3 linked regions of the Callithrix jacchus genome follow. The protein of the gene in region 1 interacts with the protein of each later gene in a pairwise test. Links are inferred from orthologs where the notes say so. Each region holds a gene or a part of one and is shown in the gene's direction. Other genes may lie near its edges.

Region 1 (10,219 bases):
AAAAAAGGCACCTATTCCTGATGTCTCATAGTTTGTCTCTCTGTTTTCAACTGCTGCTTCCATAGTTGACATTGAGTACTTATTTTCAGGGTAACCTTTGGTAGTATATTCTTGCTTCAATCATAAACACTTGGCAAAAGATTTTTGAAAACAAATGCTACTTTGTTTCCAAAATTTGAGATGTTAACTTTTTCAGGAAGCTCATAAAATGGTGAGAGAAGCAAATATCAAGCAGGCAACAGCAGAAAAACAGCTGAAAGAAGCACAAGGAAAAGTAAGTTTTTGCTGCTCTTAATAGTATAAAATAATTAGTGATAATTATTTTAAAGATAACATCTGTTGGCTTTTGTTCTGATCGTAAAGTAGTGCTTGTTTTCAATTTGGAAACTGCAGAATAATAGAAGAAAATAGCTGATATGTAGATATAATTAATAGTGAACATTTGGTGTCCATTTATATGATAACCAAATGTTTAAAGCCTTGTAAATCACATGAATTATCCAAAGGATTATAGAATCACATTTTAAAGTTAATACTTAAGTTTTAAAATTCACTGAGAAAAGCCACCTAAATATTACTCGATTTTACTATTTTAGGAGTGAACTTCTACAACTAATCATAAGCTATTATATTTTAAAATTTTTGAAAATTCACATAAATGTTAGATATCTTGATGAGTTTCACAAATTCATTTGACATCGTGAATTAATAGATGAATCCAAGCCATATGGAAACATAAAAAAACTTGTTTTTACTTTCTCTTTATTACTCCACAGGAAACAGAAATTACTTTTCATCTCTGAAAGTGTTTTGACCAGATTGCTAATATTTAGCTGCATCTTTTATAAAACATATTTAGTGTATGTGACTATGTTGATTTTTTTTCAAGATTGATGTACTTCAGGCTGAAGTAGCTGCATTGAAGACACTTGTATTGTCCAGTTCTCCAACCTCACCTACGCAGGAGCCTCTGCCAGGTGGAAAGACACCTTTTAAAAAGGGGCATACAAGAAATAAAAGCACAAGCAGTGCTATGAGTGGCAGTCATCAGGACCTCAGTGTGATACAGCCAATTGTAAAAGACTGCAAAGAGGTAACTCGTCAAGGACTGTCCCCTCTGACTCTGTTGATACTTGTTAATTCTCATCACTGAGGTGTCAGTTATCATTTTGGCCAGCAAAATTTTTAGTACAAAATATGCAGTATTAAGATGGGGGAGGCTTTATCTAGAGCTGGCTGCTTTCAGGGATTCTTCAGTTCCATTCTCTACCTGACTGACCTTGGAGTACCTGCTGGAAACTTGGTAAGTTTCTTAATCTCAATATTTCATTAAGGGAGGAAACTGTTACATGTTGTCTAGAGGATAGTGGGTGGCTTTAGTGATCTGACTAGTCAAAATTTATTGCTAGAGTGCTCTTACAAAATATGAACATAAGAAATATGTGAAAATAAGATGATTTTCTTAAAGATCAGTGCATTTTTATTTAAATTTAGAGAGAAGAAGGAATTTTATATCAGTAAGGGAGTCCTAGAGTTAACTCAAATAATTAAGCAACAAAAAATAGAAATAATGGTAGCCTTACAACTCTGTAATGCTGAGGACATTTTGCTAAGTGAAATTTCAAGTTAGAGTAGAACCATTAGTGTTATTTCTGATCCCAAATTAGGTTTCGTAGTTCAACCAGTCTCAGTTATTCAGACACTTACAACTATGTAAGGCTACTGTTCTTATATATCCATAGTAACTAAAAATTTTAAAAAGAAATAATGGTAGTCTTATTATTTTAAAAGATGTGTTATAAAGATAACTGAAATATAAATATTTAGAGCTCTTTAGAGTAAAAATTTTTTTAAATTATTGCATACTATGAGAATGCATTTCTAAGAGGATTGATCAATAATTTATGAAGCTCTCCCATTTCTTCTTAGAAGCCATCTTTTACATTGTTGTTTCAAGTCCATCATTAATCTTGAAGAAATGTGTGTGCTTGTTAAATTTTTGTATGGAAACCAGGAGTTTATTAAATGGAATAACCAATGTTGTTAACCTGTTTTAATTGAATTGCATTTTGACTAATTTTTAATAAAAAAGATGCTGATAAGAGAGAAGTTCAGTACTTGGTTAGATCTGAATGTAACCAAATCCAAAATTTACATTGTTTTCTGTGAAATATTTAAGAAACTTTTTTTGTCCTGACTTTAATTTAAATTCTTTGGAATTTAGATAGCCTTATTAATTGCCTGGTCCAACTTGTATTTTTGCTGTTTCTCACTCAGTAAGTATAAGTAATTATGTACTTCACCCCATTTACACGAAAAAAATTTGAGTGTCTTCTCATGGAAAATTGTAAAGATTCATTTTTAATTTTTTGAAATCTTTTAAAATGTGTGTAGGCAGCATATAACTTCAAAATAATAATCTTTGCTTTCCAGGTATGAGTTATATTCTGATGTTTCATAAAAAGCTTGTCAAAAAGTCTTACTAGACAAAGGAATTACATAAATTTGACCTGTGTAAGTCTTATAAAAATATGTAACAATCTGGAAGAAAATGATGCATGTCTATGTTTTTGTAGAAAATATGGTGGAGTACTCAGTCAGACAAAAGCAACAGTTTGTCTTCTGTAACATTTAAAATATACATGCACGCTTGCAGACATAGATGCCAAGTGCGAGGCTTTGGGATTAAGCCACTTAGATTTGAATTTGGACTTTACTGCTTTCTTGCTATGCAATCTTGGGCAAGTTACAAATAGGGATCATAATATCTGCCTTGCACAGTTGTGAGGATTAAATGTTTGTAAAGTGCTTACAGTAGTTCCTGGCACAAGTCAGCTCTTAAAAAGTGGTTTAAATTACTGCCTTTGAACTAGAATCTTTCCTTAGAGTACCATTTACCTGCTTTGGGGTTTATGTCCATTTTCTCAGTAACTTTAGAAAGAAAATGCATTTGAAAATGTAAGTATTGCTTGTATGCTAATATTATTTATTTTTTTGCTTTTAGCTTTGATTCAAGGAATTTATTAATTGGGCTGAAAAAAAAATTCTTATGGAAATTGCCCTTATGCACCCTAAAAGGAAGTCTGTAGGAAAGCTTGGTTACCCTCAGCTCTTGGTTACATTCTTGTAGACTACTTGCACATCTGATTAAGCTATACTAAAGGCAGGCTATAGCTGTAGTGAGTGCATCATTTATGGTATGTCCAGTGCTTCTGGACTAGAGTGGCTTAGAGCTGTAGGATGAAGGAGACTGCTTTAGTTTGGGTGGCTGATGTCAGTGGAACTTTGTATTCCAGCAGATGGTATTGAGCTGGACTTAGGGAATCTGAGAATCTGTAAGGAAGAATACTTGGGGAAAATTTATTACAGAGGTGAGAAAGAGAGGGACAGCTGGAAGAGTAAATAGGAAGGCAGGTGCCAGCAGTGGATTATTACTGATGCCTAAGATGGTAGTTGCTGGATGCCCAAAATATGTCAAAAATATCTAAATAAATGTTATATTTTAAGGTAGTCAGTTTAGGAGGCTTTATGTGTTTTTTTTTAATCCTTCTGCAATAAATGTTTTGACAATTCTTTTGGGGATGCCTTCAAATGATAGTAGAACAATTAGTGTCATTTTTGATCCCAAACTAGGTTTCACAGTTCAGCCAGTCTCAGTTTATTCAGACACTTCAATTAATTAGGTTCCAGATTACTTTTTTATTATTTTTAGAAAAGACTTGTCATCATTTATTATAATCTGAATAGAGTGCCACTTGTGTCTTAAGAGGAACTCCAGCTTTTTTTGTGGGGATGGGAGAAGGGGCTCAGGGTGAGGGTAATGTTAGCATTATTGAACGTGGTAGTGGATGATAATAGAAAAAGGCAAATTGGCTATTTGGGAGTCATTTTTTAAAAGGAAAACTGCTACGAGGTATTATAACTAATCAAGAGTGGTTCAATTTATTATTTTAAATGAAGAGCATTTTTTAGTAATGTTTAAATTAGTTTTGATTTTGTAAAGTGGTTATGTTTGTACTTTTTAAAAAGTGTTTTTGTGTTTTCCTTTGGTTTGTTTGATAGGCTGACTTATCCTTGTATAATGAGTTCCGATTGTGGAAGGATGAGCCCACAATGGACAGGACATGTCCTTTTTTAGACAAAATCTACCAGGAAGATATCTTTCCATGTTTAACATTCTCAAAAAGCGAGGTAACTTTTTCATATTAGGAATACATTATAGTTGTTTCTATCTTTTTAAAACTAAATCGTGATATATATTTTAATATCTCTTACATAAATAAGTTATTATAAAATGTCATGTTTTACTATTTTTGCCATTCCATATTAGAATTATGATAATTTCTTGGCATTCAGTTACTGAACATCCTTATATAAGCAGAGACTCATTCACGCTAACATGTACTGCGTTGGAGTCAGGTATTAACTAGATATGGGGGATAGGGCTTATTTCTTGATTTGCAATCTAAGGTTCAGTGTAAGGGAAGTTCTCTGCACACCCAGTTAAAGGCATCTGTTGTGTCTATCTGTACATGATTCAAAATCTTATTTTTTTAACTTTAAAACAGGAAAAGTAATGTCTTTGCCCATGCCACAGGATTGTTAAAAGGATAAAATGAAGTAGATTAAGTAGATACAAAAAACTTAGAAAAATAAGGCAGTATAAAAATTTAAAGCTGTAATTTTAATTTGTTCTTACATGTGAAAGGTTTGTTTACAAATATCCTGTCAATTAAAGTATAAGAAATTTAATCCTAAGAGTCTTATGTTAAGCATTTCAAGGATTTAATTGTAATATTACTTATCAGAAGTTAAGATGAAAATTTTTCACACTTTTGATATGAATATGTGTTGTTCATTGTGGCTCTGTATCTGGTTTCAGGTAGGCCATTCAGTAATAGTAACCTTGACAGACTACAGAAGTTTGCCTGTTTCAAATCTAGTATAATTCCTGCCATCTTCATCTGGGCATTTAATGTTGGATAATTCAGCTAATTCTTTTGTAGACTCACTCTTGTGCACGTAAATACAAATTCAGAAAATATATAGCTAATTAATATATATTAGTGTGTTATAAATGATCAGTGTTTAAAAATACTGTATACATTTAGCAGAATAAAGCTTTAGGATATTAATTTTGAAGTGGTATTAACAGTAGATATTAATTGTGGGTAAAAAATGAACAGAAGCTGGAATTAATACCTTTAATCCTTGTCCAGATAATGAGGATAGTTATTTACCATAAGTGAATTGCCTTTCATAACAGTGTTTGGATTAGAAAATAAACCAAAATTGTGTGATTTTTTTCTTTTTCATTTGCTAAAGCAAAGCTAGTGGAACTTGGGAGAATAATTTATAAAATTAGTTTACTGTAGAATACAATTTTTATATTTTTCTGCCAGTGTAACATCTAATATATATTTTTTTAAGTTGGCTTCTGCTGTTCTGGAGGCTGTGGAAAACAATACTCTAAGCATTGAACCAGTGGGATTACAACCTATCCGGTTTGTGAAAGCTTCTGCAGTTGAATGTGGAGGACCAAAGTAGGTTTTTCCATGCATAACTTGTGAAAGTGACTGAGTTTTTGAAATGTTTTGGGTTGCAGTTATTTAGTTTTTCTGCTTTTAAATGTAGTTATATTTCCCTCAGATTTCTCTTTAGAGTCTGTGTAGCCCAAAGACGAATCCATGAGACACTGTGGAATATAGTATTTCAGATTTAGCATCAAAGGAGAGCGGTTTTAATTATGGATTGGTGCAAAAGTAATCGTGGTTTTTGCCATTGAAAGTAATGGCACCAAGCATGATTACTTTGGCACCAACTCAATGCAATAATATATATATATGATAGGACTAGAGATAGAAACCTGAGTGGTGGGGTGTGTGTGTGTGTGTGTGTGTGTGTGTGTGTATCTCATATTGTGACCTATCAGTGCATTGTGAAATCAGTTTAGTGGGTCATAAGCAGAATTTTTGTTTATTACACACATATATATAGCCATGTGTCCTGGGTTTCTGTATAAAATACTTCTCTCTGAAGGTGACCATCAAAAATAGTTTGGGAAGATACTGAGTTAAGACTAAATCATATCAATCATGAACGCAATGTACCAAAAAGACTTGCTGAGTTCTCTTCTTTCATATTATGTTTATAAAGGATTCTCACTTTAATAAACAATCAGTTTTATCTTTCATATGTGAATCTTACTTGAGAATTATAAACCTTCAGAGATAAGACTCCCACATTTCATAAGAGGACAGACTTTTTTCCCATCCAGTCCTATGAGGAGGAATAACTGAAAACAACAGTGCTTAACGCATCTGGCAAAGGTGAAAGGTTTTGCCTAAAACAGCATAATTGTGTCTTGCCTTTTATTTAGAAAATGACTTTGAAAGCTTTTGAGAAAGATGCTTATTAAATGCTAAAAGCCAGATCAATATAGGGAACTGGAAAGCCTGAGAGTGCTCATAGAAAGCATAACTGACTGCTGTCAGGGTTATTTTGAAGCGCGAAGAGGAAAAGACTGGTTGAGATGAACCAATGAAGTCTGTGTTAAAGCTGTTCTGGGGATTATGTATGCCTTTCTGTTCCTGTTAATGCTCGTTACATTCTCCACAAGATTACAGAATGTTGTTATTGAGGGGACGATTTGTTGGAGGGTTCCTAGTCATATATTTGATTTGCTCTGTAAGCCACATGTCCACCTCACTCCCCTAGTGCCACACCTGTACCACAGTAGCCTCTGAATTTTAGGGAAAGTATTTACATTCTTAAATTCTACAAACACAAGAGTATTTTTTTCTGATCCTTCCACCTCAAATATGGAGAATTAAATTTAATCATAGCAGTTTTTGTACTTTTAAAGTCTAAATTATGCCTCATTTTAAATATAGCATATGACAGTTTTTATTGTAGAGTTTAAAATTTGTGCTTGCATTATATATCACACATATACATGTGCACATATCATAAATGATAACAAATGGGGATATCAAACTAAAATGGATTTATAGTATCTTTAGTAAAATAATTATTAGTTTAGATTTAGAGAACAGTTTACAAAATTTAAGGATACTGTGCTTGTGGGAATCGGGCCAGAAATCAAGGCATTTGTGATGCATATCATTTGGAAAAAACTGAAGGAAGATAGTGTCTTCTTTAATGAAATGTGAAGTATGGCTCTGGCCGTAGCTCTTGTGAGCTGGAATGTGAAGATATTGACTAAATCAGTGGCACAACACTGAGGGCTTTGAAGAAGACAAGATCATTTCAGCTATGATTAGGTACTCTTCTTGAAGGGAGAGATTTTTGAAGCATAAGGGGAATTTGGATAAAGAGCAGTATATACAACTGAAGGCCTAGAAACAAGAAATCAAAGTGTGTTCAGAGGATGGTGAGCGTATGGAGAGGAAAGAGAAGATGTGAGAGATTTTAAGAAAGAAATGTTAGATTGGGGTGGGGGATGGGTAAAGGAGAAAGGAGTTAGAGATGTCTGACTGGAAGACTGATTTGAAGTGATTGTGGAAATTAACAGGAAAGACTTTGGTTTGTGGAAGGAGATTACAGGTCTAGATGTAGACATGTTGACATTTTCACATGAAAATGGCCAAACAAGGATTTGAAATCTTGGGTCTAGAGTTAAAGAGATATATTAATGTAGTGTATGTAGCATATTTGGAAAGAAAAATTGGAGTTGGAGGTCAGAGGTCTATTAGCATTGAATCTGTGGTTAACTACAAATATAGTAGTGTGTCCAGTTTACAAAATGGCTTAGAAATGAGATCTTTTAAGAAACACTATACACCATAGAATGCTATGCAACCATAAAAAAGAATGAGATCATGTCCTTTGCAGAGACATGGCTGGAGCTGGAGGCCATTATCCTTAGCAAACTAATGTAGGAACAGAGAACCAAATGCTACCTGTTCTCACTTACAAGTGGGAGCTAAATGATGAGAACACATGGACACATAGAAGGGAACTACACACACTGCAGCCTATGGAAGGGTGGAGGATGGGAAGAGGGAGAGGAACAGGTAGAATAATGGATACTAGGCTTAATACCTGGGTGATGAAATAATGTATATCACAACACCTATATAGCATATGTTTACCTATGTAATAAACCTGCACATCATGCACATGTACTCCTGAACTTAGAAGTTAAAAAAAAAACACTTATTGTTTTAAAAGTTGATACTTAAAGCCACCTTACCAGATCCATTTCAAAATTAAACTAAATAGTAGACCAGCAGGCATATATCTGTTTCCAGAAGAATAGTATATAAATTGATTTTTAGCAGCTTGATGGCACATTTTCCTCTTGTGTAGATTAGACTTTGGAAGTTCCACAGATTTCCAACACTTTGTGCTTTAAATTTCTAGATCTTCATCCTCCTCAAGCTAGTAGTTAGTGCTTTTAAATACTGTTACAGATCATTAAAGGAATTGCTAATAAAGAAACAATAAAGAAATAGCTTTTTGAAGAAAGATAGGAATTGGTTTGTGATTTTAATTGCCACCTCAAAAATTATCCTATTTACACATTGTTGTGTGTTTTCTTAATATAGAGGCACATTTGTATTATATTTAAGTATCACGAAAACATTGTTATTTAATGTATTTACTATATGATTTGTTCTGTCACATAAAATGCTACTGGCTACTCACTTTACTTAGAGCTATGCTAATTTTGCATTGATGGGGAGTGATAGTTGTATTAAGCCAGGTTTCTAGCTTAGGAGGGTGACAACTAGGTTGCTACAAGTCCAGCCTGATAGACATGCCAGCTTTACCTCACAGAGCCATAGAGTAACAGATGGGTCAGTCATTGAATGTGTGCTGTGTTCTTGGCACATGCTTGGTGCCAGGCATTTAAAGATGAATCAAAGCCCCTGCCCTCAAGAGGCTGATAGCCTAATCCCAGCCAGGAAGCCCTCATATAAAATTTTAGCTTTTTGTCATATGCAAATAGAAAGAGTGGTGTGAAATTTCTTGAACTTGTTATACGATGGTTAAGATTCAGTATTTTTGTAAGGTGGATTATTCCTTTGTACTTCTCCCTAGGTCCCACATTAAATGCATAATAGCAACCAACCAACCAAATAAACAAATACCCCATCTGGAAACTATTACCCTGCAAGCTGTCAACATGCTTTGAGACTTGAACAGACATCATGAGGATATTTTCAACTGAGAAGTTGAAATCCTGATGGAAAGCTGAGAGCTGTCCTGCAGCTGATTACTCATTTGTAAATTTGTTCCAAGATGGGACATATATGGAAAACACCTAGTTTCTGTTTCTAGAATTGTGGTTAAAGTTATGGCATTAAACTTATACTATTAATAGAATGTAAGTCTCACAAGGGCAGAGACTTTGTCCTTTTCATCACTGTAGCCCAGCATCTAGAACTGTGTTTGGTACATAGCAGGTTCTTAAATATTTGTTATCTAACTGAATGAGTAGGCAACTTGTACAGAAGGTAGGGGCAAATGCTTTTAATTTAAAAAAACTGATATTTATCATTATTTTACAGAAAATGTGCTCTTACTGGCCAGAGTAAGTCCTGTAAACACAGAATTAAATTAGGGGACTCAAGCAACTATTATTATATTTCTCCTTTTTGCAGATACAGGGTAAGTGACTTAACCATGAATTTTAATAAAGCTTGCTTTGACATGATACATTTGACCATTCATGACATTTTTTCCATTTGGCCTAGATCACTTCTGTATGTAACTTTTTTACATACATTCGATACATTCAGCAGGGACTCGTTAAGCAGCAGGATGGTGAGTGTTCTTGATTAATTAAAATCTTTACATAAAAGTTCAGCAAAAGTATAGGAAGTAGTAGTAATGCATGTATCAACTTTATTGTTGGTGCATTTACATTGAATTCCTTCTATAGTTCTAATAAAATTTGTGGAGAATTTGGGAACAAATGTCTTTAAACAAATATTTTAGTTTTATTTGCCTCATTTTACTCTTAATTTTGAATTTTAAGCAGGATTAGTTTTAACTCATCAGGGGTATGTGATAAACCAGATGGTAAATGTGAAGAGTTCCACGCTCACTGAATCGACTCTTTAAGAGATGAAAATGAGCAAGCCCACAGAGTGGTCTGATTTATTTTAATTGACGGAAACCAAGATGGAGCTAACAATTAAGTTTTCCCTGTATATTCTGCTTTCACGTATGAATTAATAAAGCAGTCATG
Region 2 (10,219 bases), on another chromosome or scaffold:
AGACCCCACCTCTAAAAGAAATGTTTTAAATTAGCTGGGTGTGATGACACGTGCATATACCACCAGCAACTCGGGAGGCTGAGGTGGGAGGATTGCCTGGGCCCAGGAGTTCAGGGCTGCAGTGAGCTATGATCATGTCATGGCGCTGCAGCCTGGGTGACGAAGTGAGACCGTCTCTGAGAAAACATGGGGATTACTCATTGAACTATCAAAAATCTTTGCCCTCCTGGAGCTTCCTCATGGTTGGAGGAGACAGACAAGTCAATGAGTTAAGTATCTGGTACATTGTGTAACTGCTATGAGGAAGGTACAGGCCCAGGGAGTGTGCGTCAGCCTGGGGGCGGGTAGTCTTGTCTCCACACTCCATATCCTTACTGGCTTTCAAACCAGAAGCCCCAGAGTCCCCACACCTGCCTTTTCTCCCTCACCTGCAGTCCTCCACCAGGCTCTGGCCAGTCTGCCGTCTAAATATCTTTCTTGTGTGGCCCCTCCTCTGCCCTTGTCCAGTGCTTTCCCCCCTCCTCCCGGCTCATTCCACCTGTCACATCTTCACCATGCTAACTAACACCTGTTCATCCTTCGGATCTCAATTCAACTATCCTTCCCCAGGGAAGCCTTCCCTGCTCCCGAGTTTGGATCTCCTTTATACATTGTCTGGTCTCCTTCTCCCACTTTTTTCTTGATAGGCTTCATCACACTCAATAAGAATGTATTTGATTTTTTTTTTTTTTGAGATGGGGTCTTGCTCTGTTGCCCAGGCTGGAGTGCAGTGGCACGATCTTGGCTTACTGTAACCTCCAGCTCGTGGATTCAAGCTATTCCCCTGCCTCAGCCTCCCAAGTAGTTGGGATTGCAGGCATGCATTACTTCACCCAGCTAATTTTGTATTTTTAGTAGAGATGGGGTTTCTTTATGTTAGATGGGGTCTGGCTGGTCTTGAACTGCCAACCTCAGGTGATCTGCATGCCTCAGTCTCCCCAAGTGCTGAGAATACAAGCGTTAGCCACTGCCCCTGGGCTTGATTTACTTTTTTTTTTTTTTTTTGAGATGGAGTTTCGCTCTTGTTACCCAGGCTGGAGTGCAATGACGCGATCTCGGCTCACCACAACCTCCGCCTCCTGGGTTCAGGCAATTCTTCTGCCTCAGCCTCCTGAGTAGCTGGGATTACAGGCATGCACCACCATGCCCAGCTAATTTTTTGTATTTTTAGTAGAGATGGGGTTTCACCATGTTGACCAGGATGGTCTCGATCTCTTGACCTCATGATCCACCTGCCTCAGGCTCCCGAAGTGCTGGGATTACAGGCGCGAGCCACCGTGCCCGGCCCGATTTACTTTTTTAAGAGAGTCTTGCTCTGTCACCCAAGCAGGAGTGCTGTGGCACGATCGGAGTTCACTGTAGCCTCACACTCCTGGGCTCAAGTGATCCTCCCACCTCAGCCTCCCAAATAGCTAGGAGTGCAGGAGCGCACCACCATGCCCTGCTTTTATTTTTTGTAGAGATGTGTTCTCACTGTGTTACCCAGGCTGATTTTAAACTCCTGGGCTCAAGCAATCCTCTGGCCTCAGCCTCCCAAAAACTCACACCTGGGATTACAGGTGTGCGCCACCACGCCCTGCCAGGATGCTTCTGAATTGTGTATCTGTATGATCCTTTGATTCACATTCGTCTCCCCCTGCCAGAATGCACTATGTGTGACGGGCCTGGGTTTGTGTTGACCACCACCGTATGCCCTGGCTCAGAGCATTCCTCTCAGTCTGTGTAGTGAAGAGCTGAGGCGCCGCCACCTGCTCTCCGAGGCCAGGCCTGAGACGCCCCAAAATAGCCTGCTGGGCCAGGCCTCCATCCACCATGCCCTCAGAGTAGTGGGTCATGAGAAGGGGATGTTGAGGAGGTGAATGCACACCCTGTCCCGTGGCGGGCGGGGATGCGTGGGAGCTGGGGGCCACTGGTTTACAAGCAGTGAGGCTGCTCCCTCCCTCCCCCATATCAGTGCTTCTGCGCGCTTTCATAGCTCTGCACTCTTGATGTTTGATCTTCTGATGACCCAGAGAGGTCGGCATGGTCCTCCCACTTTATAGATGGTGCGACGGAGGCTTTGATGGATGGAGTTCCTCGCAAGCGGCAGAGTCAGGAACGCGACCAGGCCTCCCGCTTCCAAAGCCCATGCTATAAACTCTCACTTGCATTTCCCAATACTTGCCCTGGGAGGGATTTTAATGGGTTTCTGTGGTCAAGCAAGTGTGAGAAACTGGCTTGCTCAGCTCTGCTCACCGCCGGCCCTTCAGAGTACACGAATGTGCCTGGGACCTTGGGCAGGGGTTCCCTACCCAGCTGCCACTGAGCGTCAGGCCTCATAAAACTCCCAGGTGGCTCTCGGGTGCAGCCAGGGGCAAGAACTATGTAGTTTCCCCGCACTCCTTCCTTCTGAGGAGCCCCGTCTTTCAGGGGGCCTCATGAGAATTGGCTTCACTTCTCCTTTCTCTTCATTGGTCCCAACTCTTCATTCCTTCTCTTTGGCCCAAAGCGTTCCTCTGAACCAAGCAGGCCTCCCATTGTCTGCGGACGTCTGTCCAATACTGGCACAGTGTTTACTGGCTAGTCATCACAACAGCCCTCCCGATTCACAGAGAAGGAACTGCCTGCTTGGGAGGCGAAGGGATTTCCTGAGGCCGTGCAGCGGGAATCAAAGGCAGAGTCAGAACCCAGGCTTCTGGGTAGCGCAGGCCTGCCTTTCCCACCAGCTCCAGACCTCCTTGAGGACAAGGATGGTGACTCCTTCATCTCTGTCCCCAAAAGCACCGGTGCCCAGGAGCCACAGCCAGAGTGTAGGGCTTTTGCGGCCTCCTGTCTTACGAATACGGTGGTTATTTGTGGCCGTTCTCCTGTGCTGTCACAGGATTTGAAGTGGGTGACTGGCCAGAGGCGCTGGGGGCCTTTGTTCCCGAGGCAGGAGGAGCCCTTGGAGGAAGCAGCGGGGGCTTTTCTACCCCAGAGGCTTTGAAGACAAGGGAAGCCATTGGGCAAAGAGAGCATTCCTCTGAGTCTGTGTAGTGAAGAGCTGAGGTGCCGCCACCTGCTGTCCCAGGCCAGGCCTGAGACCCTCCAAAATAGCCTGCTGGGCCAGGCCTCCATCCACCATGCCCTCAGAGTGCACTTGGGCAGCCCTTTCGGAGGGCGTGGGGCAGGCAGATCAGTCATCAGATGGTCCCTGCCCTCGGCCCAGAATGCAATGCTGAGCCTGTGAGGCTGGGAGCCCCAGGCGAGGCCCTCCTGGGAACTGGGCTCTATCCCGAAGGCGGTGGGAGCCACAGCAGGGTTTAAACTGAGGTGCGCCTGGCTCAGATGTATATTCTAGAAGGACCTCCCTGGCCACAGGAATGGACTGAATGGAGGTTGGCCTGGGAAGAGCCCCAGCACTGTAGGAGCTTAGGGCAGAGGCTGTGGTGGGTAAACCTGCAGGGCTGAGCGGGGACAGGATGGGAGATCTGAGCGGGCACAGGCGGGATCTGGGCTGGAGCAGGACGCCTTGCTGGATGAAGGAGGAGAGTTGAGGGCGACAGCCGGGAGTCATGCCGGCTTCTCGCGCCCACCCCTCACTCACCTGTGTGCCAGCACTTCTCTCTGTGCTCTTCTTAAGGCAGGAACCAGGGTTCCTGCTGCTTCCCTGAGTTCCCCAGCACACCCCGGGCCTCGCAGGGAGTGGCTCTGCAGGTGGCGGTTGAACAGGGTCAGCCTCTGCCCAGGAGCCAGCAGGTGCCTGGAAAACAGCCGAGGGGCGGGGCAGACAGGAGAGACTGGAAGGAGGCAGCATCGGCCCCCACCGCTCCCTCCTGCTTCAGGGCAGAATGTGCTTCTACTAAGCCCTGCTGCTGGTGAGGGTCCCACAGGTAGCTGCCGTTAATGTTATCCTCGTTTGAGTTGGGTGTGGTGGCTCATGCCTGTAGTCCCAGCTACTTGGGAGACAGAGGTAAGAGGATCACCTGAACCCAGGAGGTGGAGGCTGCAGTGAGCTGAGATCCTGCCATCGCACTCCAGCCTGGGTGGCAGAGTGAGACCCTGTCTCAAACACAAACAAAATGGCCCTCTGTTTACACACGAGGAAACTGAGGCCCAGTCAGCCACTGGCCCAGGGCCCACACCTGGTAAGTGCTGGGGCCAATCTGGACCCGGGCAGGTGGCTCTATACCAGTGCTGGTGTGAAGGACCCAAGCAGAGTCTCTTCCCACCGTCTCTCACACACCTGCCCGTCTCCGGCAGTCATCAGACCCTTCCCTGAGCTCCTGCTCTGTGGCTGCCCCTGCCGTGCCTGAGGACACCAGAGGGAGCGCCAGCGCAGTGCAACAGTGACAGACAGTGTCGCTGTCACCCATGAGAGCAAGGCCTGCCAAGGGGCAGGGGAAGGGGCAACTTGGCCTGAGATACGGGCAACCTCTGCTCAGATCCCCCATTCCTAGCACTCCCCACCTCTGCCAGGCCAATCGCCATGACTGTTCACCCCCCACGCACTCCCATCTAGACCTGCTGGGGTGTGAAAGACAGCCCTGTGCTCAGGATGCCATGGACAGGTTCCCAGTTTCCACCAGTGAAATACAGCCTCCTTGTGAGGCTGGAAAGGTAAAACAGCTGTAGAGAACACCTGGCTCAGCGCAGCAGCTCACGCCTGTAATCCCAGCACTTAGGCTGAGGCGGTTGAATCACAAGGTCAAGAGTTTGAGACCAGCCTGGCCAACATGGAGAAACCCTGTCTCTACTAAAAACACAAAAAATTAGCCAGGCGTGGTGGCACACACCTGTAATCCCAGCTCCAGAGGCTGAGGCAGGAGAATTGCTTGAACCCAGGAGGTGGAGGTTGCAGTGAGCTGAGATTGCGCCATTGCACTCCAGCCTGGGCGACAGACAGAGTGAGACTCCTTCTCAAGAACAACAACAAAAAAATGCCTGGCACACAGTACGCGGGTCCTGGCATAACATTTGTGTTGTGACGTTGATGAGAAAAGAATATCGATTCCGGGGGCTGCTGTCTGGCTGGTGTTTGCAGGTTCTCCCTCTGCTGGTGCAGGTTCCTCTGGGCAATCCTTGGGATGTGTCCGCTGGGTGAGCTGCGGGGTCTCCACGGGCCATGAGTGAATGTGGGCCTCAGTGCGCCCTGTGATGGGATGGCATCCTGTCCAGGATCCGTTCCGGCTTTTGGCCCTGCCAGGATGGGCTTTGGCCCCCCAGGACCCTGAGCTGGTAGAAGTGAGTAAATTGGGTTACTTGATTTTTGTTTATTTTTTGGGACAGGTTCTCATTCTGTTGCCCAGGCTGGAGTGCAGTGGCTCACTGCAGCTGCGACTTCCTGGGCTCAGGAAATCCTCCCACCTCAGCTTCCCAAGTAGCTGGGAAATGGGTGCATGCCACCACACCTAGCTAATTTTTGTATTGTGTTTTTGAGACGGAGTCTTGGTGCACTTTGTCTGATCAGCCTGTCTATTAAGTCCCACCCACATGGCAAGCCCTGTGTCGGCTGCAGAAGGCTGGATGTGAATTGGCCAGCCAGGGTCCCCGCCTTCACAGAGCTGCATCCTTATCCAGTGACAGTGCGCAGTGGGCAGGGCTGGGGACGCAAGCTGGAAGGGAGGAAAGGAGAGAAGGGAGCCAGTAGAAAGGCCCAGAAGTCTGAGCCTTCCTGACCAAGGAAAGCAAGTATTAGGGGGCGGCAGAGAGGGTGATGGAGGCAGCTGTGGGGGGCAGGCTGCAAGAAGCCTTCTTCAGACGCCCTCCAGGCTGGGACACCCTCTCCAGGGCTGGAGCCAAGCGGAGAATTCCCGTCCCCATTCCAATGGCGATGGTGGTGGTACAGCCATTCCCGGGGGAAGGTTGTGGTTGAGGGCGGGAGAGGGAGGGCTGGAGGGCTCAGGCCCGCTGACTGCAGGCTCCTGAGAGCAGCTCACGGTTCCACACCCGCCTCTCTTCCATTCCCCAACTTCTGCTCTGCTGGGCTTTCTCTGAGAAATCTGGTACCTCATGCCCAAGCCATCCTGGGGTTTCTCGTGCCCCCCAGTCTGGGCCTCCTCCCTTCCTCTGCAGTGGATCACCTGAGTAAAAAAGTTTAAAAAATCCATGGCCAGGTGCAGTGGCTCTCGCCTGTAATCCCAGCACTTTGGGAGGTCAAGGCGGGCGACTAATTTGAGGCCAGGAATTCAAGACCAGCCTGGCCAACATGGTGAAACCCCATCTCTACCAAAAATACGAAAATTACTCGTATGTGCTGATGTGCACGCCTGTAATCCCAGCTACTAGGGAGACTGAGGCAGGAAAATCCCTTGAACCCAGGAGGCAGAGGTTGCAGTGAGTCAAGATCGTGCCATTGCTCTCCAGCCTGGGCAAAAGAACAAGTCAGTGTCTCCAAAAAAGAAAAATCCATGAGCACTTCTCCAGCCGTGCTGTCCACACATAGGCACGTAGGCAAACAGCACATGCAGCCCTCCTGCCACGCCTGCTGCCTGGGGCCTGCCTCTGTCAGCACAGTCCCCTCCCATGTGGACCCTGGCCTGCCCTTCCCAAGCACCCATGGGAAGATCTGCCTGTCCTGAGCTTCCTTCCACGTGTCCACCCAGGGATCTTGGCCAGTACTATAGGGGTGACTTCCATAGCCCCCTTTCCTGTAGCCCAACCTCCAGGCCTTGGGCAGGTCACCTGGAGCCTCTTGGTGTACTCACAGCGCCCAGGTCCCAGGGCGTTGTGAGGGTTCACACTGAAAGCACTTGCAGTGCATGACCGGTGTTAGCAGGAAGAGTCATACGGGGGAAGGGGTCTTGGGGAAGACCTCCATTGTTTCTGAAGGAAGCAGGATCTGGTCCTTGGATCCTGACAGTCGGGATCCAGAGAGCCTGCGAGGTCTGCAGAGGAGGGTGAGGGAGCCCGGGCACCCTAGAGGCCTGCCCCTGCCAAGCTGTGCTGGAACCCATCCCTGCTCACCCCTGAGTTGACGGGCACCAGCAAGTTGGTTTTCAGGTCCCCTTGCAGGTATCCCCCTGGGTGGCCCTGTGTTCGAGGTGGCCAAGGGCCCCTGAGCTTCTTTCCCCTGGCCTTCTAGGGACAGAATATGAACCTGTCGGTCCTGGAGAGTGTGGGCTTCCGCGTGGGCCAGGCTCTAGGCGAGAGGTGAGAGCGGCCCCTCCTGCTCTCCCCCAGCCTGGCTGGCAGGGTTGGGCAGGCCCCAGGCGGGGAGGGTTACATTGCTCCATGTGGGAGTCAGGCCTGGCTTCCTCCCTCTTCCTGGCCTGGCCCCACATCCTCAGCCTGGCACTGCCCCACCAGGCTACCCCGAGAGATGCTGGCCTTCAGGGAGGAGCTGGATGTCCTCAAGTTCTTGTGCAAAGACCTGTGGCTGGCCATATTCCAGAAGCAGATGGACAGCCTGCGCACCAATCACCAGGTGGGAGCACCCAGGCCTGCCAACCCGCCCAGCTCCCTCCCAAGGGTGTGGCCAGGAGAGTGGGAGGGGAAGCCCCAGTGCCAGAGCAGCAGGTCCCGGGACCTGCCCAGAACTTTCCTACCAGTGGCCGCAGCCCTTAGTGGGTCTCTGATCCTCTAAGGGAAGCCAGGAGGCTGCACTAGGGTATAGGGGGTGTTTCCAGAACCTCCCCAGCCCCGCCTACCAGGAGTGAGCCATCCATAGGCAGAAAGCCCCTGGTGGCCTCCTGCCCTCTCCCCAGTGCAATGCCACTTGTCCCAAGCTGGTCCAGTCCCCCAGTGAACACCCACGCTGTGCCGCTCCTCTGCCGCTTCCTGGGCTGGGTCCCCAGTTTTTCTGCACAACCCTGGGAGGTGGGGGCGGGACCCACACTCCCCAGGGCAGGAGTACTCAGCCGGTCAGGAAGCCCCAGGTACAGAGCACTGGAGGCCAAGGCTGTGACTCTAGCAGTTCTCACAGATGGGGCCTTCCCAGCCTCAGCCCAATCTAGCACTCAGGCTGGGTTCCCACTTCCCCTCCCTGCACTTCAAATGTACGGGCCCCACCACCACCCATGGCCTCTCCTCTCCCCCAGGGGACCTATGTCCTGCAGGACAACAGCTTCCCCCTCCTCCTCCCCATGGCTGCTGGCCTGCAATATCTGGAGGAAGCGCCCAAGGTATGGGAGGGAGCTGGGGCCTGTCCACACCTCCCTTCCTACTGTGTACTCGGCCCCAACCCCATGTCAGGCCTCTCCCCAGGCCTAAGGGGTACCCCAGACCTCAGGTGCCAGCCTCCCCTCTCTTCCCACACTGGTCTGTGTCCCCTTTCCAGTTCCTGGCCTTCACTTGCGGCCTCCTGCGCGGCGCCCTCTGTACCCTGGGCATCGAGAGCGTGGTCACCGCTTCCGTGGCAGCCCTGCCTGGCTGTGAGTCATGGCGGTGGGGGGGGCGGGATTCTTCTCATTTTTTGAGTTGCTGGGGGCCTCGGAGCTCCGGCTTGCTCCTATATTGGTGCTTGGGAGGCAGCCCCAGGCATAAGTCACCTGCTCAGCCACACAGCAGGTGCAGGCCCATCTGTGCCCCTGGCCCCATGACTTCCCCAGCGCTGCAGAGAGAACCGTCTGGCACAGTTCTGGAACAGAGCGTCCTCCTGGGGAGCAGGCTGGGGGCCGGAGTGCAGTGTCTGGCGGTGTGAACACCTCCCCCAGCACAGGAGCCCAGGTGGACGTAACAGGAGTCATCCTCGCTGATACTTGGCTCCTGGGAACTTGCAGCCTGCCTGCTGGGGTGTTCTCTGTCAGACAAGCTGCAGCCCCATTCCTGTCTGGGGACAGCCTGCCCAACCACTTCCCCCAGTTATTTTCCCTCTGCCACTTCCCCAGGCCCACTCATGGGGGCCCCAGTGGGTAGGACTGAGGAGGCATACCACAGAAGCCTGTGCAGGGCCCTCATACTCCTGGTTACCCACGCAGCCCAGGGATCCAGGCCACATGGGCGGGGGGAGGAAAAAGCCCCAGCCCAGCCCTTAGGCTGTCAGTGTGGGACAGGGTAAGCCCCTGAGAGCCATCCAGGTGTCCTCTGCGTCTCCCTCATCCCAGCCTCCAGCCTAAGCCAGTCCTTCTCTTCCAGGTAAGTTCCAGGTGGTGATTCAGAACTCCTGAGCCCACCCCACACCTGCTGAGCACACTGCTGCCCCCACCCTCACTGGCCTCAGGAGACAGTGGCTGCCTTGGACCCTTGGCTGCTGCATTTGGGGGGGGCTGGTGCTAGGTATCCCAGGCCCTAGGGGTCACATGTACTCAGGAAGTGGGTATCAAAGCAAGGTGGGGTGTCACAGGAGGCAAAGAGATGCCAGCCGTGATCTGGACTGGGGTGGGACTCCTGCCTCAGCAGTGTCACTGCCCAGCAGGTATTCAATAAAGGCTGTGTGTGTGGAATCCGACTCGGAGCAGTGGGGAAGGATCAGCGGGGCGACCGTCACAGGGCCTGCAGGGGAGTGGGCACCCTCTCTGGCCCCCATGCCCTTCAGACCCTCCCCTGCCAGGCCCAACTCCGCTCCCTCCCTCCCCAAACTCCTGGCAGAGGGATGCTGGCCCCCGGCACAGGCGGCCCTGTTAGTATCTCTGCCAAGTCAACAAGTCTGGGGCTGCCCTCTGCCTAGCAATGTATATGGAACAGAGCGTCTTCCTGGGGAGCAGGACTGGGGGCCCCTGGAGTGCAGGCAGGGGTGGGCTGGAGAATGCATGGGGGTTGGGGGAGGCAGGCACCCTCATGCACACATATGGCTCCTACCCGCTCCTGATGCCTGTCCTTGGGCAGTGACCTTTACACTGCCCCCTCCTGCCATGCTCCCATCTCTAGCATCTGGGGATACCTGGGCTTCGCCACCCACTGCCTGACACGGGTTAAGTGCCCAGCCTCAGAGCTGGCAACTGAGGCTGGGAGTGACCCAAATGCAACGAGAAACGGTCCCCTTGCTAAAGACACTCCCCTGTAGAGTGCGGTCCAGTCACCCCATCAGCCCCTACTTGGGTCATCCCTTCCCAGCCCACCTGGCTGAGAGCGGCCCTGATTTGCATCTGCCACTGCAGTGCTGCCCCTGCCTGGCCTGCTCCCCAAATTCCTGCTCCCTCTAGTGTCCAGCATCTTCCTGGCCATGTGTCTTATTGTTTACCTTGGGCCAGGCTCCGTGCTGGGGTGGGCAGTGGGGGCTTGACTTGGAGGCCCACCACAGACACCAGCCCCGCCTTCCTGGTGGGCCAGGGGGGAAAATTCC
Region 3 (9,327 bases), on another chromosome or scaffold:
ACGAATGTGATTTATTATTTATTTGTTTAGTTTTGATACCGAGTCTCACTCTGTTGCTCTGTTGCCCTGTTGCCCAGGCTGGAGTGCGGTGGCATGACCTCAGCTCACTGCAACGTCTGTCTCCTGGGTTCAAGGGATTCTTCTGCCTCACCCTCCCTAGTAGCTGAGATTACAGGCATGTGCTACCACACCCGGCTAATTTTTGCATTTTTACTAGAGACGGTGTTTCACCACGTGGGCCAGGCTGGTCTCGAACTCCTGACCTCAGGTGATCCACCCGCCTTGGCCTCCCAAAGTGCTGGGATTACAGGCGCGAGCCACGGCGCCTGGCCGATATATTGTGAACTAAACCAACAGTTTACATTGCTGCACGTCTCTTTGTGTTGTAAGCCTTACGGTTTTGACCAAATGGCATGTGTCCACCTTGTATTATCACAGGATAGTTTCACTGGGTTCCACGCATTCATCCCTCCCTCTCCTTAACCCCTGGCAACCACTGATTTTTTTACTGTCTGCATAGTTTTCCTTTTCCAGGATGTCACAGAATTGGAATCATACCGTATACAGCCTTTTCAGACTGGCTGCTTTTTCACTTAGTAATATGCATTTAAGCTTCTGCCTTGTCTTTGGGTTGACGGTTCATTTCTTTTTTTCTTTTTCTTTTTTGAGACAGGGTCTCGCTCTGTTGCCCAAGCTGCAGTGCAGTGGCGTGATCACGGCTCACTTACAGCCTCAACCTCCCAGGCTCAAATGATCCTGTCACCTCTGCCTCCCAAGCAGCCGAGACCACAGGCATGCGCCACCATACCCAGCTCATTTACAAATTTTTTTTGTGGAAATGGTGTCTCACTATGTTTTCCAGGCTGGTCTTGAACTGCTGGGCTCAAGCGATCCTCTTTTCTTGGCCTGCCAAGTAGCTGGAACTCTAGGCGTGTGCCACCACACCCGGCATGCATGGGGTTTTTAGGCAGCAGAGGGTGGCAGTATCAGCTGCGCTGATCCAAGAGGCTCCCAGCCCTCCCCCAGCTGGGGTCTTAGGTGGCTGTAGGGCCAGCCTAGAGTTTGCATGTCCACTCTACGTATGGCAGGGGTGGGGGTGGAGGTGCCTACACAGAGCTCCTTTGCAGCCTCACCTTCCTCTCTCTCCAGGGAAGAAGACCCAGATGATGTGCCCCATGGACATATCACCTCATTGGTTTGTAGAGTCCACCCAGGCTCTGGTGGGGGTGGAAGTGGGGGTTAGTTGGGGCAGCCCTCAGGGTCCCAGCCCCTCATCCCCTCTCTGCTCTTCCACCAGGCTGTGAAGCGTTCCCATCGGCGCCTCGGTCTGGCACAGAAACTGATGGACCAGGCCTCTCGAGCGATGATAGAGAACTTCAATGCCAAATACGTCTCCCTGCATGTCAGGAAGAGGTGGAAGCTGGGCTGAGGGAAGGGGGATTGAGGGGAGAGATGCTGCCTTGACGGGAGTCCTGGGGGCCTTGGCTTTTGGTGAAGACCCGGGAAGTGGGATTGGTGGGAAGGAGGCACCAGAGGGGAGGGGCAGGGCCTGGACATGCTACCCTACCTGGCCCAATCCGTGCAGCTCAGCAGTGCCTTGTTCTCCTGCAGTAACCGGGCCGCCCTGCACCTCTATTCCAACACCCTCAACTTTCAGTAAGTAGATCTTGGTGTCTGTAATGGGTTGGGGCTGGTCCCAGGTCTGGCTGTCAGGGCCGCTGAGACCAGCTGAGCTGCTTTCCAGGCAGGGGGTGGGCTAGCTACGGGGAGGAGGCTGTGGATCCCAGCGCTGCCAAGATGCCTCCCCACTCACTTGGTGGCTGATGGCTGAAATGTGCTCCATGTGTGTTGTGATGGAGGAGCTCTGGCCCATGCTGGCTGAGGCTGGTGAAGGGCACAGGGTTGTTTAGTCATGTTTGGGAATAGAGATGTGTGGGTCTCTGGCATGAGCAGATGCTAAGGAGCAGGACTCTGTGTGACCAAGCGCCTGGAAGCATCTAAGAGAGAGCAGAAGCAAGGAGAATGCATGTTCAGGAAGAAAGGGCCGGCGGCCAGGCAGCCTAGTGGATGGGGCAGGTCTGCCGAGGACCCGGAGGCCCCGTTTGCCTGGCCCAGGAGAGAGAACCTGGCAGTCAGTGTGCCCAGTAGACAGTGGAAAAAAGTGCTTGCAAGTGAAGCTGGGGTGGGCTACCCGTGTGCCCGTGGAGGGATGCTAACTGCACTCAGCACCAGTTTGACTGTTGGGAAGGGCGGTGGCCTCGGCTGGGTGCTGGCAGGAAGGATCTGTGACCCAGATGAGGATGTCTGGTGGAAACTGCTTTATAGTGAAGTCAACAGTCCTCATGTCTGAGGTCTGACAGGGCCAGCCTTCCAGGACATGGCCACCCGAGCCTGCACGCGTGCCTCCCCAGTGCGGGCTGGGCTGTGCTGCATAGGGATGCAGCCCTCAAACGGGCTCACCCACGTTCCTGTATTTTCATCACTGTGGTGAGGCAGCTCAGTAAGGGATAGGAAGCAGGGCAGAAAGGGAAGGGGAAGGCTGAATTCAGGGCTTCAGCTCACAAGAAACCACAGAAGGGGAATCCTTAGTAGCCAGGCTAAGGACACAGAACAGGAACAGGACAGGGGTGGGGCGGGCCACTGTTACCTGGAGCCTTTACTGGAAGTGGGGCCACTGGAGGATTCTTTCAGGCTGGACTTGCTGTCTCAGGATGGAGCCTTCAGGGAGAAAACATGTCACCTTGCTTCAGTAGCCATGATGCCAGGAGCAGAGGAGGATGTGTCCTGGGTATGGGTCTTCCTCCTTGCTCTCTGCCCTCTGCCCCCAGGATCAGTGAAGTGGAGCCCAAATACTATGCAGATGGGGAGGATGCCTACGCCATGAAGCGGGATCTCACCCAGATGGCGGACGAGGTGAGAGCGCTGCAGTTTAGCCAAGCGAGGCCAGTGGGGTCGGCCCTGTGGGCGGGGGGGAGGTGGCGGCACTTGAGAGCCCTGGGACAGTGGCTGGAAGCAAGACCAACTTTGGGCGCCAGCCCTTGTGGCCACATTGCCAGGACTCACGGCCTCAGTTTCCTAGGCTGGGCTTTAGAGGAGGCTGTCTGCCTAGCAGCAGCCTGGAGGGTGGTGGGAGAGGCAGACGGAGGAGGCTTTTAGAAGGGAAGTGGGACAGCCTGGGACCAGTGGGTGGCCTGCCTGCTCAGAGGTAGTTCTGAGTCAGGGTTCTGCCCAAGGTGGCAGGGCTGTTGAAGGGGCAGCACTCGGTCGTGGGGGCCTCCATGGTAGTCAGTGAACCCAGGGAGCAGTGGGCAAGGCTCCAGCCAGGTGTCCCCACTCAGTCCCGTGTGTCTTTCCTAGCCCTGCTGCTTCTCATTATGCCCGTCCCCTCAGCCAGCGACAAGTCCAGGCTCCCCTTGTCTGGAAACTTAGGCCCTGTATCTTTGCTCCCGCTTCTCCCTGGGCTCCTGGCGGCAGCTGAGGCGGCACCTGGAGCTGAAGGAGAAGGGCAGGCACATGGTGCTGGGCGCCATGGAGAACAAGGTGGAGAGCAAAGGCAGCTCACCTCCGAACTCAGGAGAGGCCTGTCGTGAGGAGAAGGGCCTGGCTGCTGAGGATAGTGGAGGGGACAGCAAGGACCTCAGCGAGGTCAGCGAGACCACAGAGAGCACAGATGTCAAAGACAGCTCAGAGGCCTCCGACTCGGCCTCCTAGAGCCTGCCCCGGCCCTTCCTCACCCCACGAGCTTTCACAATAAATTCGCTCTATGGCACTGGGGAACTTTGTGTGTGTGTGTGTGTGTGTGTGTGTGTGTGTGTGTGTGTATGCGCACGTGCGCTTGCACATTTAGAAGGTGTGTTTCTCCAGCTCCTCTGTCTGGTGGGGATGTGAACCTCACAGCCTTTTAAGCCAGGGCATCCTGCCAGGCCCGAGTAGAAGGGAGGAGCTTTGTGAGAGCCTTGGGGGTGGGACTCCCCAGTCTCATAACCTTCAGCAGCTGTGGCCCCAGGGAAGGAGGCCCTAGACTTCCGGGAGAGACCCTGCCTCAGAGGCCTGCTCGGCCACGCCGAATGTGTTTTGTGCAAGCCTCGGCCGCTCAGGCTCAAAGCTCAACAGCGGGCTCCCATTCTTCAGTACTTCTGCTTGGCTCTTGAGTGTCCCACCTCCAGCCCTTTTCTCTCCTAATCACACTTGCTTTGGGCTACAGCAGCTCCACTACACCCCGTGGGCTTCAGATGTAGACATCCAACTGCTCATTGGGCCTGTCTACAGCTGTCCTGTCTGAGTAATGACCCAGCCAGATGCCCAGTTGCTCAAGCCCTGTCAGTGGTCCTTGAGTCCTCCCTCCCCTGCTACCCTAATGGTCAGTGAGTCCATGATACCTCTTGGGTCTGCTCCCTAACCTGAGTTTGCAGTTGAAAATAATTGATTTTTAGTACAGTTCCCCCCGTTTCTCCTACTGACATTTTGTATTAGTTGGTGTGTTGGTTTCTGTTGATTAGCCAATACTGATATGTTATTGTAAAGTGTAGCCCATGTTTCACAGTAGGGTCCTTGTCTGTGTTGTACAGTTTCTATGGGGTTACACAAATGCATAAAGCTATGTATCCCCCATTACAGTTTCATGCAGAATACAAAACTGGGCAGCTGTTGGGTATGGTGGGTCACACCTGTAATCACAGCACTTTGGGAGGCCGAGGTGGGCGGATCAGTTGAACTCAGGAGTTGACCAGCCTGGGCAGCATGATGAAACCCCATCTCTACTAAAAATCAAAAACAGCGAGGCGTCGTGGTGCACACCTGTAATCCCGGCTACTTGGGACGCTGAGGCCGGAGGATCGCTTAAGCCTGGGAGGTGGAGGTTGCTGTGATCCCAGATCATGCTACCACACTCCAGGGACACATATATATCAAAATCCTGTTTTTCATGGAGTCACCCAAACTCCATGTGTCTTTGCTCCCTCCTATTCCCTCCGGCTGCAAAGCCATCACTTGTCTCTGAGCGGGCCCTGTATTCCTGAGCCGTCTCTATACACAACATCTCTGCTACTGCAGGTGGCACACTGCTGCTCCGCCAGGTTGAAAATTCGCCGTACAGGCCTGGACCTCGGTTCTCGTTGGCTGGTGTGTCGCACGTGACCAGCAGGCAGCCTGCCGCGGTGGAAGCCGAGCCCAGAGCTCGGCAGGGCGGGGCCGGGACCGGAAAGTCGCGCCTGCGCACGCCCACCGCTCTACAGTTCCCGGCTCGGGCGAGGCTGTGTTCTGATTGGCTCAAGACGTGGGCTTCCCTTTGTATGGGCCAGAGGCGGCGCCCTGTCCCGCCCCGTGCCTGGCGTCAGTATCTTCCGGTTCGCAAGCCGGCGGCAAGCTTCGTTCCCAGGCTCTGATTGGTTCGGCGGCGCCGAGCTCTGCGCGCAGGGCGTGGGGGAAGGGAGGGCATGCGCACTGCGTCGGCCCCGCACCGGCACCGGTGGAAAGAAGCTGGGCCGGGCTCACACGGCGCCCTTCTTCCTCCCCTGCTCGGCCCGCCCTCCGCCCTCCTGTCCGCCGCTCCGTCTGTCGCCACGCGGGCAGGTCCGCGCTTTCTGCGGGCTGCCTGGCTTTAGGATGCCTTGAAGGGGAACAGTGGAGCTAAGAATAGAGCGAGCAGCAGGTGACAGTTGAGTTCAGGGCCTTAAATGCCACACAACTGCCCTAAAAGCCAGGGCCCAACACTCAGGTTCTAAAGCACGGGCTGAATGGGGCAACATAGGACTAGCTCTGGAGTGAGAAAAGGAGTGAAGAGAGCGTTTGAGGCACGGGCTGAGCCCTTTTCTGCCTGCCTGAGCCCTGTGCCTGTCTCTGTGTGGAGGGACCTTTGGGGACCAGTCGGGGCTTGGATGGAAGAGCAGGGTGTGTTGGGGTCAGCTAATGAGGGGAGGGGGTCCCTGATTCCCCTTGGCCTGAGACAGCGGCGGGACGTGTGAGTCTCCCTAGCAGGAGCAGGTTGGGGTGTGGCTGTGGCTGTGCGCGCCGTGGGAAGGGGCGCAGGCTGGAGGACTCGAACCTCAGCATTTCCGAGACCAGCTGCTGGAAGTCCAGGTCCTGGGCCTACCGGGGTCTGGCTAGCTCCCAGGCCTCGAAGCCTCAGGTCCTGCAGACCCTCACAACAACGTCTTCGAGAAGGGCCTGGGAGAAGGGGGCGGGGAGCTAGGGGAGTGTATTTTCCTTCTGGGCAAGAGAATTAATTGCTCATAGTTGAAAGGCAGGAAGTACCTGCACAGCCTCCCCTCCTCCCCAGATCTGCAGGTCAAGGTTATGACTCTGACATCCGTGCACATAAAGGCTTAGGACCCTTGCACTGGTGCCCACAGGCCCGCTTTTGGGACACACTCCTGGTGCCCAAGTGCTTTGTCCCTCTCCCCAAGTCTATATCCCAAGGATTTCCCTCCCAGCAAATTGAAGCCAGTTGTCTGCTTGGCATGTCAACAACCTCCTGCCTCCTGCCTTCCCGATTTCCCCGAGAAAAGCTGCTGCCCTGCGGTAGTGGGTGGAGGAAAGGCCCCACCACCTCTGTATGAGGGAGGCCCCAGACTTGCCCCCAGGGTAGCTAAGACCTTACTCTGAGGGGGCTGTCCCCCTCAGGCCTATGATGGGCAGGTGCAGCTGCAGGGGAAGGGAGGCAGAGCAGCCTCTTCCGGCAGCAGGAAGTGGTAACCGCCTATGTGGAAATTGTGGGGCTGAGCAGAAGGGGAACCAGAGGAAACCCTGCTCCCCCACCAAGGGGGCCTGGAGGGAACAGCCAACAGCTGCTGAGGTTCTGCTCTCTGGCGATGACCTTCCTTCTCCTCCCCTCCAAACTTCCCACCCCAGCTCTCAAGGCTCCCTGGGAAGGGACGACCCCGTCCGATGTCCAGGACCTGGGGCAGCAGTGCTATTCATGTCCACGGGCACTGTGGGCCAGCGACCCCGGTGCGAACGGTGCAGTCTGGCAGTGGTGACCACGGACAGCCTTCTGGAGGTGGTGGCAGGATTGCAGCCAGGGATGCCCACTTACCTCGGGGTCTCACACCCGCCCCGGCTGCTTGGCAGCGGGGCTTTCGGCACAAGGCAGCCTAGGTGCAGGCCCAGCGGGAGGGGACGACAAGGCCGGGGCACAATGGGGCTGCAAGGGGGGGTCCTGCCCCCGGGAGCCCCTCGCGGCCAGTGCCGGGCCGGGGCCGCCCCGCCCCACCTGGAGCGGCGCTGGGGGCGGGGCTGGGCGGAGCCCGCGCAGGGTGCTGGCCGCAGCGCCCCCGAGTCCCGGCGCCGGCTCTGCTCGCGACCGCGTGGGAGCAGTGGGGTTTGACGGCGCGGCCGCCAGGCCGCCATGGCCGCTCACGGGAAGCTGCGGCGGGAGCGGGGGCTACAGGCTGAGTATGAGACGCAAGTCAAAGGTGAGAGGGCGCCGGGCGCTCCCGGCCCGTATCCTGCGGAGACCCCAAGGTCGTGAGGGCGCTCCAAGCGTGCCCGCACTGACCCAGGGCCCGATGCTCTCCCCAGCGACCTCTGGAGGGGGGTGGAGGAGGGAGCCTGAGCCCCTTGCCTGCTTCCCCACGCCCATTTGGCCTCAGCCGCCTGCCATCTTCCCTTTCTCCTTGCCTCTCTTCCTTCGTTTGGTCCCTGTTCCTCACCCAAGGCCCAGTGGAGACACTGGTGGCCGCTGGTAAAGGGGAGCCGGATGCACCAACGTGCCCCCAGGAGGCAGTGTGTTAGCTACAGTGAAGTGGGTAAGGGAGTCCAGGTGAGTGGATTGGTGGAGATCACCTGGCCCTAACCCCGCTGCAGTCCCTGGAGCCCCAGCACCTTTTGCCTCCCTTTGGCACTGACGGGGATCAGAGGTGAGGGCCACTGTCTTTGGGTCAAGCTGGCGCAGTGAGTCTTGGTTGAGAGATTCAGCAGGGCTGGCTTCTCAGCCTTCTGAAATTGAACCTCTCCAGGTTCTGATAAACACCCATGTGCAAATCACATGCAAGTCAGCTTTGCAAATTCTTAGCCATGGTAACTCCTGCAAAGGAAAAGGGCAGCAGCTCAGTGCCAGCAGCTCCTCCATATCACTCTCAATCACTCCATTTTGCCAATTACGGAAACAAACTCAGAGAGGTGCAGTGACTCGCCCATGGTCACACAGCACGACAACTTCTAGAACATAGAATGCAATGACCCTTGAAGTGCCTTTCAACCTACAGATGTAGGTTCCAACCTCATTATTCAGTGCAAGCAATTTATACCAAAATATGCCCCAGTCGTCCTCCTTTGGAAGAGGCAGCCTGTGTCCAGAGCCAGCTTGAGGTGACTACACAGGGTGAGCCAGCTTTCCAAGCCTCACCATCATCTTGCTCAGATGGAGGTAATGATCTCCATCCTGCTTCCCCAAAATGCCATGAAGCTGAAAGACTTGGAAAACTTCAGTCAGCAAATATGGGTCAGTGGTTTCCCACTGAAAAGTTGGGGTTTCGAGCAGGACTGTCTAAGGGTTCCTCACTTGCTCTGGGTCTGCATCCCAGTCCCTGGAAAAACATCCTACCGTTCTACAGAACGGGGGTCACTGTCTTGACACCCTAAATTCTCAAAGGTTAGCATAGCCATGGTTTTGGAGACCATCTTCTCTTCTGTTTTGCTTGTCAGCAGAAATGAGACCAAATGTCTTGCTCACAGGAAGTGCTGGTGGAGCCTGGGGCCCTGCTCTGTAATTCAGGCAGACATGGATTCCAGCTTGCCTTTGGCCAGATGTTTCCTGATTCCAGCCCCTCCAGTCCCTCCAGCCCCTCTAGCCCTGGCTTTTTACCCGGAGTAAAAACAGTGATTGAGTGAGGACTCTCCTGATTTCAGATGGCGTCAGTGCCCCACCCTCACAGTGGCTCACAGGTCTAGTGGGGGAGACATAGAGTTTCCATTATGATAATAAGCACTGCAAAAGGAAAGTGCAGGGTGCCAAGAAGGGGTCGGAAGAGGGCCAGCTCTAGTTTAGGGGGACATCAGGACAGGGTGTGCTGACGAGTTTGTCTGAACTGAGATCTGAAAGCTCTGCCGGGAAAGCCACCAATGCAATCGACTTGCAATTCACGTTTCCGGCTCAACACCAGCCAGTGTGCATGCCCGGATCTGGACCAGGACATGACTTCCAGTCAGTGTTTGCTGCCGGCAGTGATGAGGAAAGGCAGCGGTTCTCTCTGCTGGTTCTTTCTGCACTGTATTCCTCTGGGGGAAGAAGGGCAGGGCAGGCTCCAGAGGGACAGTGAGGCAAGCAGTCACCTAAGACCTTTCTTAGAATGAAATGAAATTAACTTTTATCAAAAAAAAATGTTAAAC

The links.
Region 2: the proteins of RAB3IP (region 1) and TRAPPC6A interact in binary tests that used the Homo sapiens proteins (3 or more experiments, as listed by UniProt). The two-hybrid records come from large-scale screens. The link is inferred for Callithrix jacchus from reciprocal best matches to the Homo sapiens genes RAB3IP and TRAPPC6A.
Region 3: the proteins of RAB3IP (region 1) and NAA10 interact in binary tests that used the Homo sapiens proteins (3 or more experiments, as listed by UniProt). The two-hybrid records come from large-scale screens. The link is inferred for Callithrix jacchus from reciprocal best matches to the Homo sapiens genes RAB3IP and NAA10.

Annotation. Positions count from the first base shown.
Region 1 is NC_133510.1:72,376,023-72,386,241, forward strand, and holds part of RAB3IP (rab-3A-interacting protein), read left to right. Parts: intron 1-196; coding exon 197-274; intron 275-889; coding exon 890-1,093; intron 1,094-4,062; coding exon 4,063-4,191; intron 4,192-5,430; coding exon 5,431-5,543; intron 5,544-9,536; coding exon 9,537-9,636; intron 9,637-9,722; coding exon 9,723-9,792; intron 9,793-10,219. UniProt on the Homo sapiens protein: Guanine nucleotide exchange factor (GEF) which may activate RAB8A and RAB8B. Promotes the exchange of GDP to GTP, converting inactive GDP-bound Rab proteins into their active GTP-bound form.
Region 2 is NC_133523.1:39,353,735-39,363,953, reverse strand, and holds the end of TRAPPC6A (trafficking protein particle complex subunit 6A), read left to right. Parts: intron 1-7,081; coding exon 7,082-7,149; intron 7,150-7,305; coding exon 7,306-7,423; intron 7,424-8,036; coding exon 8,037-8,120; intron 8,121-8,275; coding exon 8,276-8,369; intron 8,370-9,072; coding exon 9,073-9,104; 3' UTR 9,105-9,380; downstream 9,381-10,219. UniProt on the Homo sapiens protein: May play a role in vesicular transport during the biogenesis of melanosomes.
Region 3 is NC_133524.1:149,837,117-149,846,443, reverse strand, and holds the end of NAA10 (N-alpha-acetyltransferase 10), read left to right. Parts: intron 1-1,149; coding exon 1,150-1,195; intron 1,196-1,297; coding exon 1,298-1,413; intron 1,414-1,611; coding exon 1,612-1,656; intron 1,657-2,691; coding exon of another isoform or gene 2,692-2,828; coding exon 2,829-2,913; intron 2,914-3,429; coding exon 3,430-3,711; 3' UTR 3,712-3,777; downstream 3,778-9,327. Other genes in the region: ARHGAP4 (rho GTPase-activating protein 4), read left to right, coding at 5,436-5,571. UniProt on the Homo sapiens protein: Catalytic subunit of N-terminal acetyltransferase complexes which display alpha (N-terminal) acetyltransferase activity. Acetylates amino termini that are devoid of initiator methionine.